Arabidopsis thaliana: one gene and its partners. The protein of the gene in region 1 interacts with the protein of each later gene in a pairwise test. Each region holds a gene or a part of one and is shown on either strand. Other genes may lie near its edges. The genes, in order: AT5G27810, AT1G19000 and GRF6.

The links.
Region 2: the proteins of AT5G27810 (region 1) and AT1G19000 interact in a two-hybrid assay, tested with the Arabidopsis thaliana proteins (one large-scale study listed by BioGRID).
Region 3: the proteins of AT5G27810 (region 1) and GRF6 interact in a two-hybrid assay, tested with the Arabidopsis thaliana proteins (one large-scale study listed by BioGRID).

What each region holds. Positions count from the first base shown.
Region 1 is NC_003076.8:9,854,051-9,857,049, reverse strand, and holds AT5G27810 (MADS-box transcription factor family protein), read right to left. Parts: upstream 1,380-2,999; 5' UTR 1,224-1,379; coding exon 864-1,223; 3' UTR 592-863; downstream 1-591.
Region 2 is NC_003070.9:6,559,847-6,564,630, forward strand, and holds AT1G19000 (Homeodomain-like superfamily protein), read right to left. Parts: upstream 2,946-4,784; 5' UTR 2,839-2,945; coding exon 2,538-2,838; intron 2,346-2,537; coding exon 2,137-2,345; intron 1,837-2,136; coding exon 1,489-1,836; 3' UTR 645-1,488; downstream 1-644. Other genes in the region: AT1G18990 (myosin-binding protein, putative (Protein of unknown function, DUF593)), read right to left, coding at 1-586.
Region 3 is NC_003071.7:2,424,417-2,427,851, reverse strand, and holds GRF6 (growth-regulating factor 6), read right to left. Parts: upstream 1,677-3,435; 5' UTR 1,630-1,676; coding exon 1,317-1,629; exon of another isoform or gene 1,224-1,316; coding exon 1,004-1,223; intron 916-1,003; coding exon 597-915; 3' UTR 529-596; downstream 1-528.

The DNA of each region.
Region 1 (2,999 bases):
TTAAGGGTCAAATTCCACTAAGCTCTCGTTGTTAACACAATAAACTTATGATGACTAATATTAAGCTAGACAAAGTAGATGAACCTAAAAGACAATAAAACAGTAAATTGAGTTGTAGGTTCACAAGACTTTTAAAATGGTTCACATAATATTAAAGGGTTTACAAGAGTTTTTAAAAGAATTTTAAATGGTTTACAATATGTTAGGTACATTAACATTTCAGTGTATATTATTGATTATATATTATATAATATTTGTACTTAACACTTTAAACGAAAATATTTTCTTTTTTAAAATGTGAGCTGTCATATTTTATATTTGAAAGAAAAAATATAAAATCTCAACAGTTCTAAAATTGAAAAGAAACCTTAAATCTAATCTGCTCAAAATGTTATTAAAGAATTAATAAAGGTAAGACATATGTTGAAAAACAACACATAAACGGAAAAATGAAACAATAAAAATAAGAGTATCACAAATCTCTAAATTTAAAAACAACATATCATTGTGAAAATAGAATGAAAAATATCACCATCATCAAACTGATAACAATAAAAACATAAATTGTGATGCAATCTATTACATGACAAAAAAACTGAAAGCTAATTATAAATTCACTTATCAATCCATTCTCGAAATTATTGTAATACCACATTAAATAAAATCCTAACGAAACCATTTATTATTGGAAATACTTAGAACAAGAACTATGTACGATATCGCTTGAGTTGCCGACATCAAGAGCGATGGAAGATTCTCCAGGGATATGATGTTGGTGCTCTTGTTGATGACGGTGGATGTGGTTGTGTTGGCTATCATCCATGAATTGAAACGCCATTTGCTCTCCTGGATACTTCATTTGCTCAAGATGGTTCATCATTTTCATAAACCATTGTTGTTGATTCTGATTGTGATTCTGATTTAAGCATCTCCATGTTTCCAATTAAGCATCGAAACATGACTTCAGTCATCTCGAGCTCCTTATTGTCCTTTCTTTGTCTCCTCAAATTCTCTGTCGGTTTCGCGATCCTTTGTTTGAGAAAACCTTCTTGATCTACCATCTTTTTGTGTTGATCCATTTCCGGGAGTGTCCTAAATTCGGAAACCACTCTTTGCACACCAGAATTTGATGGCCACACTTCATGACTGGTATCATACGGACTGTAGATGATCGCACACGATGTGATGCCACATAGAGTTGAGAGTTCATGTACTTTCTTCATCAACCCCTTCTTTCTTTTTTGAAAGTTGCTTTTCTTGAAGAATCGTTGGAAATGAAAGCAAGTTTCATTTTATTTCTCGTCATTAAAATGTTTTTTTGTATATTTTGAGATTGTTAATGTGTAGTATTATGTAGTACTGAGAAGGTACAAATATTTGTTATATAGGGTATCTTTATTTTAATACAAGAAAATATAAACTTCCAAATCAAGCTTTAATGCATGAACATTATAAAAAAAATCTGAATGGATTGAAGATAGAGATTATAACCGTTTTTCTTATTTACTACATGTATTATCACTACTGATTGACATATGTAGAACTATAGTCCAAATATTTATAGAGTGGTAACATCAAAACAATAAAATAGGATAAAATGTTTAGCTAGCAAATTTAGTTTTTAACAGCAAAAATCATCAATAAATATCAATCTGGTAATGTTATTTAAACATGATGCAACTAATATAATTATTTAATAATATATATAATTTTCAAATATTGTGATGATTAATAAGATATGGTATTAAAAGGTAGTCAAAGATTTGTTTCAAAATATTTTTGTGATTATTTCCCTTGCTGGAGACATTGAATCTCGGTTGTTGACTGGTAAATTAATCATGAACTATTTACCATATAGATAATTCTTTAAGAAATCAGTTTTTAAATCTCTTGATTTTATATATATATTAAAAATAGGTTAGCAAAATTACAATACCCATCGTAAAGTTTAAAAACTTCATAAGTAAAGGCATGTAAAACTAAACTACATTTCTTAAATGAAAAAAAAAAGTATAACGAGGGTGGTAAGTTGAAGGATAAAATGTTAACGAAAAAAGAATAAAATTTAGAAGAGACATGATGAGAAAAAAAAAATTGTATCCAACTTGTGATGTTATCAGAAGATTACAAGATCGCAGTCTAGCAAAATGTATATAAAACTATATTTAAACTCGCGGTATATCGGGGGAACAATTTATTTTTTAAATTAATATATATATTGTAAATTGTATCTATTTATAAAATATTTTTATTTTATAGTTTATAATTATTATTACGTAACGTCCTGCCAAACCCGTCCCGCCAACCTGTCCTGTAAAGAAAACTCATTTATTTTATTAATGTTGACCTTATTTATGATATGTTTATGAATTATTGTCTAAATATTTTGTAATTTTGTAGTAATTACATGCTATCAAATATCTCTGCGATTTGATGATTATAATCATGCAGAAAAGCAACATCAAAAATGATAATTTTGTAGTAATTAAATGATATTAAATATTTTGAAAGTTTTATTTTAGTAATTAATCGTGTAGTTAAGGTAGAAAGATTTTAAGAAGATTGTTAAATGTCAAATATTTAATTAGAAGATTTTCTTTCTAATTATCTAAAATAATTATTAAATGTCAGTGGCAGCCACTGTAAATAAATCCCAACTCCAGGATTTATTTTACAAAGTGGCTGCAAAAATGTATATGTAGATAATTAGAATAAACTAAGTGGTGAATGGTGTATATTATAAAGAACTTATAAATTGTTATGCAATTTAGTAAAATATTTACACAATATTTGGTGATGGTTTTTTACCCATTTTTCCTATAATTTGTGAAAGAAAAAAACAAAAAATGTTATGATATTCAATGTATAAGTTATTAATGGGACCGAATTGGCCTTGCCAGCATATTTGATTATTTTCTAGTCCTGAGATTTTGGCTAAACCGGGTTGTTCGGGTCGGGTTATTCCTTAACTTTTTTTTTTAACATCAATTTTTTCTTCT
Region 2 (4,784 bases), on another chromosome or scaffold:
TAGGTTTATCGGATTTCAGCTTCATTATCTGCCCACAACAAGAACAACGTTGCTGCCTCTGAAACCTGTCATTGCTATTGTTAGTTCTGTTCTCAACCTGATAGAAGTTTTCATCTTTCTTCGAACCCGCAACCGGAAACGCCAATTGAAGCTCACGTTCATCGTCGATAAGAAGCTCAAGATCCTTATGCAAGATTCCAATAAGAGACTTGTAAGTATCAACATCTGTTTCTTTCTCGGTAGCGAAAGAGAGAAGACATCCTTCACACATACGTTTGATCTCAGAGAGTTTCTTGTGCACATGACAGTAAGCGAGAGATGAGACATTCTTCTTGTGAGCATCGCATATCGAGTCGTTGTAATAGAAATCAGGGTTTCTGCTGACAAGAACATGGTCGAGTCTAGTGCAGAGAAGACAGGGGATTTTGAGGTCAAAGAATTTAGCGATTTGGTTAGAGAAGAAAGCGAGGAAGCCATCGATGAAGAGGATAATGATGAGGATCCATTCAAGAAGAGCGTAGATTAAGAACTGTGGGAATGTTCCAAGTTCTTCTTCTATGAAATTCTTGAAGGAACGGTTAGACATTATTGTGATTGCAAAAAGCGATCACGAAGATAAGAAGCAAACTTCAGATAAATTAACAGGAAGAAGAAAATTATCTTAAAAGGGTTACATGAAGATTGAAATGGTAACAGGAAAAGGAACCCAAAAAAAACAGAGGTTATTAGCTTTATTATCTAGTCCTCTATATTTGGATTGGGAAAAGAATTAATTTGACCAATAATACCTGAAATAACGGCTAATCGCAGACAAGTAAAATTGACAAAATTAGATTCTTTTTCTTTAAAATTTACTCTGTTTTTTGGATTGTCATGTACTATAGGGAAAAATGGTGTTTGCTAGGGAAAGAGAAAAAAAAAAATCCACAAAAGTCGAAGTGGCATATGAAATTGGCAACATTATTATGACATTAGAGATAAATGATAAAATATTCGAAGAACCATACATAGTTACATACAGTTTTAGGCTTTTATCTTATCCCCAAAAGATAAGATAATAGAAAAGCCTAAAAACCCCACAAATCACCAACCATTGATTGAGATGGGCCACATGAGAATCACGCTTGTTTTTAACTTACATCACCACAAAACAAAACACACACAGCAGAAAATGACTCATAACAGTGTGTGTGACAAGAGTTTTACAAACAAACAAAGATGATGAAGCACCCTAGACACAGTTTGTCCATCAATCTCTATAGCCTTCCTCTGTTTTTGTTCTGTTTTTTTTTTCCCCTGATTATATTTTCAGACAAAATACATAAAAGTTTGACAAAGTAAGGCCTAAAGAAAGATCAAAAACAGGACTGAGACTTAATAGGGTTCTTTTTTCTTATCTGTTTATACCTAATATGTACTACTAGTACTACAACAACAGAGAAACAAAGAAAGAAACAAGGTCTTGTAGATTCACCTTGGGTTTAAGCTCTAAGCAACTCTGATGATGCTGCTATTGCTATCTCCATCGCTGAAGCTTGGCATCATCGTGAAAGCCGAGTGTCTTGAGTTGGGTTGCTCGTTAAGATTAAATGAGGATGCCAGACAAAGGTTGAGAGAAAGTGGAGCAGCATCTGTGTTTAGATTGAATGTTGGCTTTGCTTGGAAGGTTACTGGAACCAGATATGGATCGTTGAGATGAAATGTCTCTGGTGCATTCTCAGTTTTTGTCGGCACGTCAGTAAAAACTTGCATCGCTTGCTGTCCAGAGCTGATGTTGGTTTCAGGTAGTGGTGAGTTCTCCTGAGTAGGATCTTGCTCCATGGCCATTTCTGTAACCTGATCAAACCAATCACACCTAACTGTCACACACTTACCATTATTGTTTATAAACTACAACTTAAAAGATATATACCCAATTAGACCAAAAATCATTATGATACTTCTCCATATTACTTTGTCTTTAAGTTCTAAAGAAGAAATACTAAAAACCTAAGAAAGGAAAGAGCTTTGAGAAAGCAGAGAACACCAAAGAAAGTAAGAAAGTTAAGTTCTATCAACTAAGCTAAAGTCTAGACCTTTTCATTCACATATGATTTAGCTAACATAAAATGATTTAGGATAAGAGTAGAGATTTACCGTCTCAGTAGTGATATCAAAAAGGCTAGATCTTCTTCGGCGACGGTTGAGGTTGGTTCGTCGGAGGAAGTATTTCTGAGCATGACTAGCTACTTGAGTAGGAGTCCTACTCTTCACAAAGTTTCTTGATATTCCTTTCCAATCTCCTTTTCCTACTTTCTGCAACCCAATCAAGAACCTCTTATGCTCGTTCTCTGTCCATGGAACCCCTGTTTTGTTCAACACAAACAAACAATAATCAACGACAACGAATCCATAGCTCAAAACCAATCAATCACCGACATAAATTCCAACATGCATAGATTCAATCACGAATTGGATAAGATTCAAATTAGAGACATTCTAATAATACAATCAATCAGAATCCTAAGCTCTTATCAGAATCAGAAAAAGAGTAGTACCTCGTTTCCTCCCGCCGGAAGAAGACGAAATCTGGACAGCGTCATTGGCGGAGGCGTAACCGTCAGCGACAATCACCGTCGCATCCGTTTCGTTCTTATCTTCACCATCTCCAGCTCCGGCGGTGACTATCTTAGGGATCTCATCCTCCGGAGAAGACTTTTCATAATCAGAGAGATTGTTCAAACTCACACACTTTCTCATCGGATCAACCACGACTCTAACTCCGAACAACATGATCTCATCTCTCTTTCCCGTAACGCCGCAGTCTCCGGTCTCCGACGAACTACTAACGGCGGCCATAAATAAAACACTTTTTCCGATTTTGCCCTTTGCGTCGCTTTTGGTTTTTACCCTTTCGAAATAAGAACCGTACAGATTAGGAGACGAGGTGTGAGTGGATCTGAGCTACTTCTTCTGTCTTGTCTTTATAAAAACTCGATAAGCCACGTGGCATTACTTACTCTGTTGTGTGTTATTACGATAACATGACACGTGTTTATTTATGATTTGTTCGTCACTCGTTTCCTCTGTGACCTGCTTGTCTCTCTATATTTATCATTTCTTCCATTTGGATTTATTAATTAATGAGTTATTTTCTTTGGATATATTCTGATAATGTCTCTCTCTCTATTCATTATTTTTGTCATTTTAATTAAATGTGTTTTTTTTTGTTCAAGCAAAGTGAATGTGTCTCGACGTCCTTCTCTCACGTAAAAAAAATGGTTTCTAGTGTGATTTTCTTATTGATGATTTGAATATAGAAATGAGAAAAAAAAAGTTGGTAAAGGAAGTATGGTGTGTCATGCGCATGAAGATGAAATGTGATTTTTGAATGGTAGTTCATAATTAAACTGTATAAGATGGTATTATAAGTGTGTTTTATAATGTAATGTTAGTGTTAAACGAATCTGGTCAACTTACTTAGTGCGATTCCCGATTACATCCAACCTGATTACCTTTATATAAAAACCATTATCTTATTTTAGCTAGCTTGTAACGAATCACACAAGCAACCAAAAAGTTACCTTGATAATCTCAATCTGTTAGTACTCTTTATTTCATCCTTCGCTTTAATCTAAATTAATCCTCCAAATCCCTTTTAGAACATTGTTTTTATTGAAATACAAATTACTTCTGGTTAGGATTAAATGATTGATAAACTAATCAAAAGAATATTCCAAATTGTGGCATCAAAATATTTGATGAAGACATGGGGCCAATGGGAGCACATGATATCCTCATCACTTTAAATACTAGCTAGTATTTTATGTATCCATCAATTCTCTTCTTCTTTTTTTCCTTTTCCCCTTCAATTAATAGCCTTTTAAAGTTTTAATTTCCCTTGCAAATTGTCCTTTTAAAACCAGATATGATGATAATCCCTTACAAGTTACAAGCATGATTAACGTATGAATCTCCTCATAGTTTACAAACTGATTGATTCACATTCACACCACTAGTGAAACACATGACCGATTAATTCGACTGACTAATCATGTTTTAAGGGATATTGTCATGTGGATCATATCACTAAACTCTATTTTAATTGAAAATATCACACAAAAGTATAGTATAACCACATTCTTGCAAATATAGTGAAGAAATAATTGAATTCACACAAATTTTGGAGAAGGTTGTTGCTGATCGGGGTTGACTTTATATGTTCGCAAATAAACATGATATTTTATAAGAATTATATTGTACGATTAAATGACCGTTGTTGATCAGTTGGTTAAATATTGTTTTTTGCAAATTAAATAAGAGATTACAAGTTCAATGTCTATAACAAATTTCTTTACAAATCACAATGATCATAAAACTTAAAAAAAATTGGAGTCTAGCTAATGATGTAACACGGTTTAACAAAAAGAAAAGAGTATATGATGAGCTTCTCCAATAATCTTGGTTCAGCACATGAACTTAACCTTTCTATCTCTATCGACTCTCTCTGGTTTATCTTCTTAATCTTTGGTCGTCTTAACTCAAATCATTCAACATTAGAAGTATTCCATTGTAAAAATGTTTTGTTGTTGCAATTAGTGATTTAAAACAAACTAGAGACTTAAAACTTTTACGCTTTATCTTGTTAGTTTTTTTTTTTTTTAACTTAAAAATTAACGTGGTGTCATGATCATATCCCATCGAAGTTTAAGCATGGGGGTTTAACAACATGCATGCTGCATGATAGGAAAGATATAAAAATCTTCTAATTATTAATCAAACATTTTCTTGTGGAAAAGAAAAAG
Region 3 (3,435 bases), on another chromosome or scaffold:
GTACTCATGTGTGTGAGTGAAGAAATAATAATTCAGTTTGATGAGAATAAGAGAAGTCGTCTTTCTCTCTCACTGAGTCAGAGCAGAAAGCTTTTGATTGGGTGTGTGGCTTTTTCAGACCTGACCAAACTCAGTCAGGGAGCAGAACTCAACTCAACTCAATTGCAAAACCTGTCTTTTTTTTACTCTTTTCTTATTTTCTTCATCATTTTTTTCTATAACATAACCTTTAAGAAAAATTATTTACTGTTTTAATTATAAAAAAAAACTATTTACTATCCACAGTAAATAGTTTAATGAACAAGTTTCTGACAAAAAGAATCAGAAATAATTAATTACAGAAACATGAATTGATAAATTTGTTGCTAATCAATGACTTAGTGACATCGTACTATCACTAATATTGACAAGAGATGAGCAGAAACAATTTAAACATTGAAACCAAACTAATATAACTACTTTACACAAGTTAAATCTTTTATGCTAATATAATGCATGGATCACAAAAAGAAACTCCTAATTAAATTAGACAAAAAAAGAGAGAATTTGCATTACCATCTTAACAAGAAATACAAGGTTATAAGAACAAAAGATGATCAAATGAAGAGTGAAGTAGAAACAGAAGATTTAGAAGAAGGCCATTCATCAAGAAACCTATAAAACCTCTTGCTTCCTTGCTCTTCTTCATTATCATGATCTCTTTGTTTCAGCTTCTCCTCTAACATCAATGGCCTCTCACGTGTCCTCAAGTCAGTACCAAGGATGAAGCAATGTCGATCCGGCTGCTTCTCCTCGTTGTTGATGCCTCTACATGAGCCATCATCATTATCTTCCATTGCTGAGCCAGAGCAGCTTTTGATTGACCCGGAAGGTTCTATGGAGAAGAAATCATCCATGTATCCACTTCTTCTTCTTCTACTTTCAAACATGTTTTGAAGATAAAAAATAGTCAATCATTGTGTTGTCATTAGAGTAAAACAGAGGAGGAAGGTGTGTTTGAAACCTGGAAGAAGAGTCGAGAAAGAGATTTGGAGTGAATTGAGTAGGAGGAGGCTTTCTTGAGGAAGAACGGTTCTTGCCTCTATGCATATGTCTCTCACAGTACTTAGAGTCAGGGTAAGCTTCTTTAGAGCATCTCCATTTCTTGCCATCAGTTCTTCTACATCTTCCTGGCTCTGCATCTATCTTTCTTCCCATTCCCATCTCATACACATTCCACCCAACTGAAAAAAAAGAGTCAAATTCGTTTACATTATCACCAAACCCTAAGGATAACCATCATAGAGCACAAAGCAAAGAAGATAAAGTGTGCTTACAGTGTGGAGAAAGAGTGGGAGAGAAGAAGCTTGAAGAAGAAGATGAAGAAGAAGAAGAAGAGAAGAGAAAGGGTCTTTTGATGAGGAAGAGAAGATGAGGTGGAACAGGCATATTTGCAGCTAAGTACTTGAACACAAGAGCTTGGTTTTCAAGTTCTTCCCATTGTGATTCTGTGAATGGAATCCTTGTAGCCATGAAGAGAGAAAGAGAAAGAGAGATGAAGAAGAAAGAGAGATTAAAGATTGGGATTTGTATTGGAAAATTGAAAGTGTAAGAGAGTAGTAGGTATGTTTTTATTGATAAAGTGTCCATTGGTCACCTGCAGTCTGCAGAATCTCTGTGCTTCATGTCCTCTTCTTGTTTATTATTCCTTTTTCTTATTTCTTAAAATTTTCTTTTCAGCTTTAGTTTTGGTTTTATCTTAAGCACCATTTCAGGTTTTTCTTTTCCTTCTTAAAAGCTAAATTTTGTGACAAGGGGCATAGATAACTTATGTTTAATTTATTTACGTATTATATTCAGGAGTTTGTAACTTTTGTTTGCGTTTAGAAAAACGAGAAAATTTGGTAACCGAAAAGAGAATCTACCAAGTTACATACGTATACGTAAACAATATCCTTCGGGATTGACTCTATTAAGTTCTAATTATTTTTGGTTGACAAAAAAAAAATCTAACAAGTCATGAAACTTAAGAGGTAAAGTTGTGTACAAAATAATAAGACATTAAAAATTTCAGCTCTAATGTTGGGTTGTTATGATATCTTTTGAGTCATATAACTTATATCTCAAACTTTAGTATATGTGAGAAAGAAAAAATAAGAAAAAAAAAATACTTATTTGTGAAAGAAGCTTGAATTTAACCCTACAATATTTAAGATGTTTTTAGCATTTATATTCGATCCTAAATATAGTAAGTAAATAGCCAAGTGAGAGGATTTATGTCCCTCTTCTATTCTTCTTAATGTTTTAACTATAAAAAAAGAAACATGTAAGCATATTGCAACTATTACAAAGATCGTTATAAAGGTTTAGCTAACCACAAAGAACATTCTCTTAATCATTCATTATAGTATTAGAAAATAAAATGAAAGAAGTCCAATTGTAATGAGTTTATAAATTTTGAATTATACCAAATCATTATTTTTGTTCTTCAATCAAATAAACCGTATCGTGTAATGTGACATCTTTGGTTAGATAGACGACTCGTAGTACTCGTAGCTCCAACACATTCGACATTTATAAAATTAAGTGTACACGGTCCACTTGTGTTAAAAACACTATGCATGAATAATAAATTGTTTTGAATAAAAAATATTTATGAGAATAGAAGTAAAAAAGTTTGAGAGAGAGAGAGGGAAAATAATGAGTGAGTCTGCAAACTCTGAAAACTTCTGCACTCTCTGCGACTCTTCCCTTTCACAGCTCTCACTCACTCCCATACACACCCATCACTCATGCCACATCTCTTTCTCCCTCTTTTATTTTTGTTTTCTTTTGAATTTTTCTAAATTATTTTATATTTCTCAAAAGAAAAAAAACTGTGATTATTTTAATTATCTTTTTTCTTTGTTAAAGATTATTTTAATTATCAAAATTTAAAATTTTGTTCATGCCTATGTAAATAATTCATTTGAAGTCGGTCATCAAATGAAGTTAGACCCAATGCATTAACAGATGGTGGGGGTTTGTGAAAAAACCTCAGAAACTTACACTTCATAAAAACATGATTTATTTTCTTAGGAAAACCTCTAATACTAAAAATACATCTAAATTGATCATATAAATCATGTTTTTTATCCAAAAATATATAAGGTTGATAAATTAACTATATTTAAAAAGACTATATTTGAGACGTAACGATTTAAAAATATTTAGGCAGTTTTTTTTGAAAGATTAGAAACGATTATGTTGAAGTTATAAATAAAAGGTGTTTCACATAATACATACTCATAAATAAAGTTAATAGCATCTTAATCGTCTTCAATTTCTCTTTTATATATGAGACCGATTAATTTCCATGTAAAGATTATTTAATATTGACGGGAAGCAAAACATAAAGAACACTAAGCACATTAACGATGTTACTTAAAATTTTAAAAAGGAATATAAACAAACTGT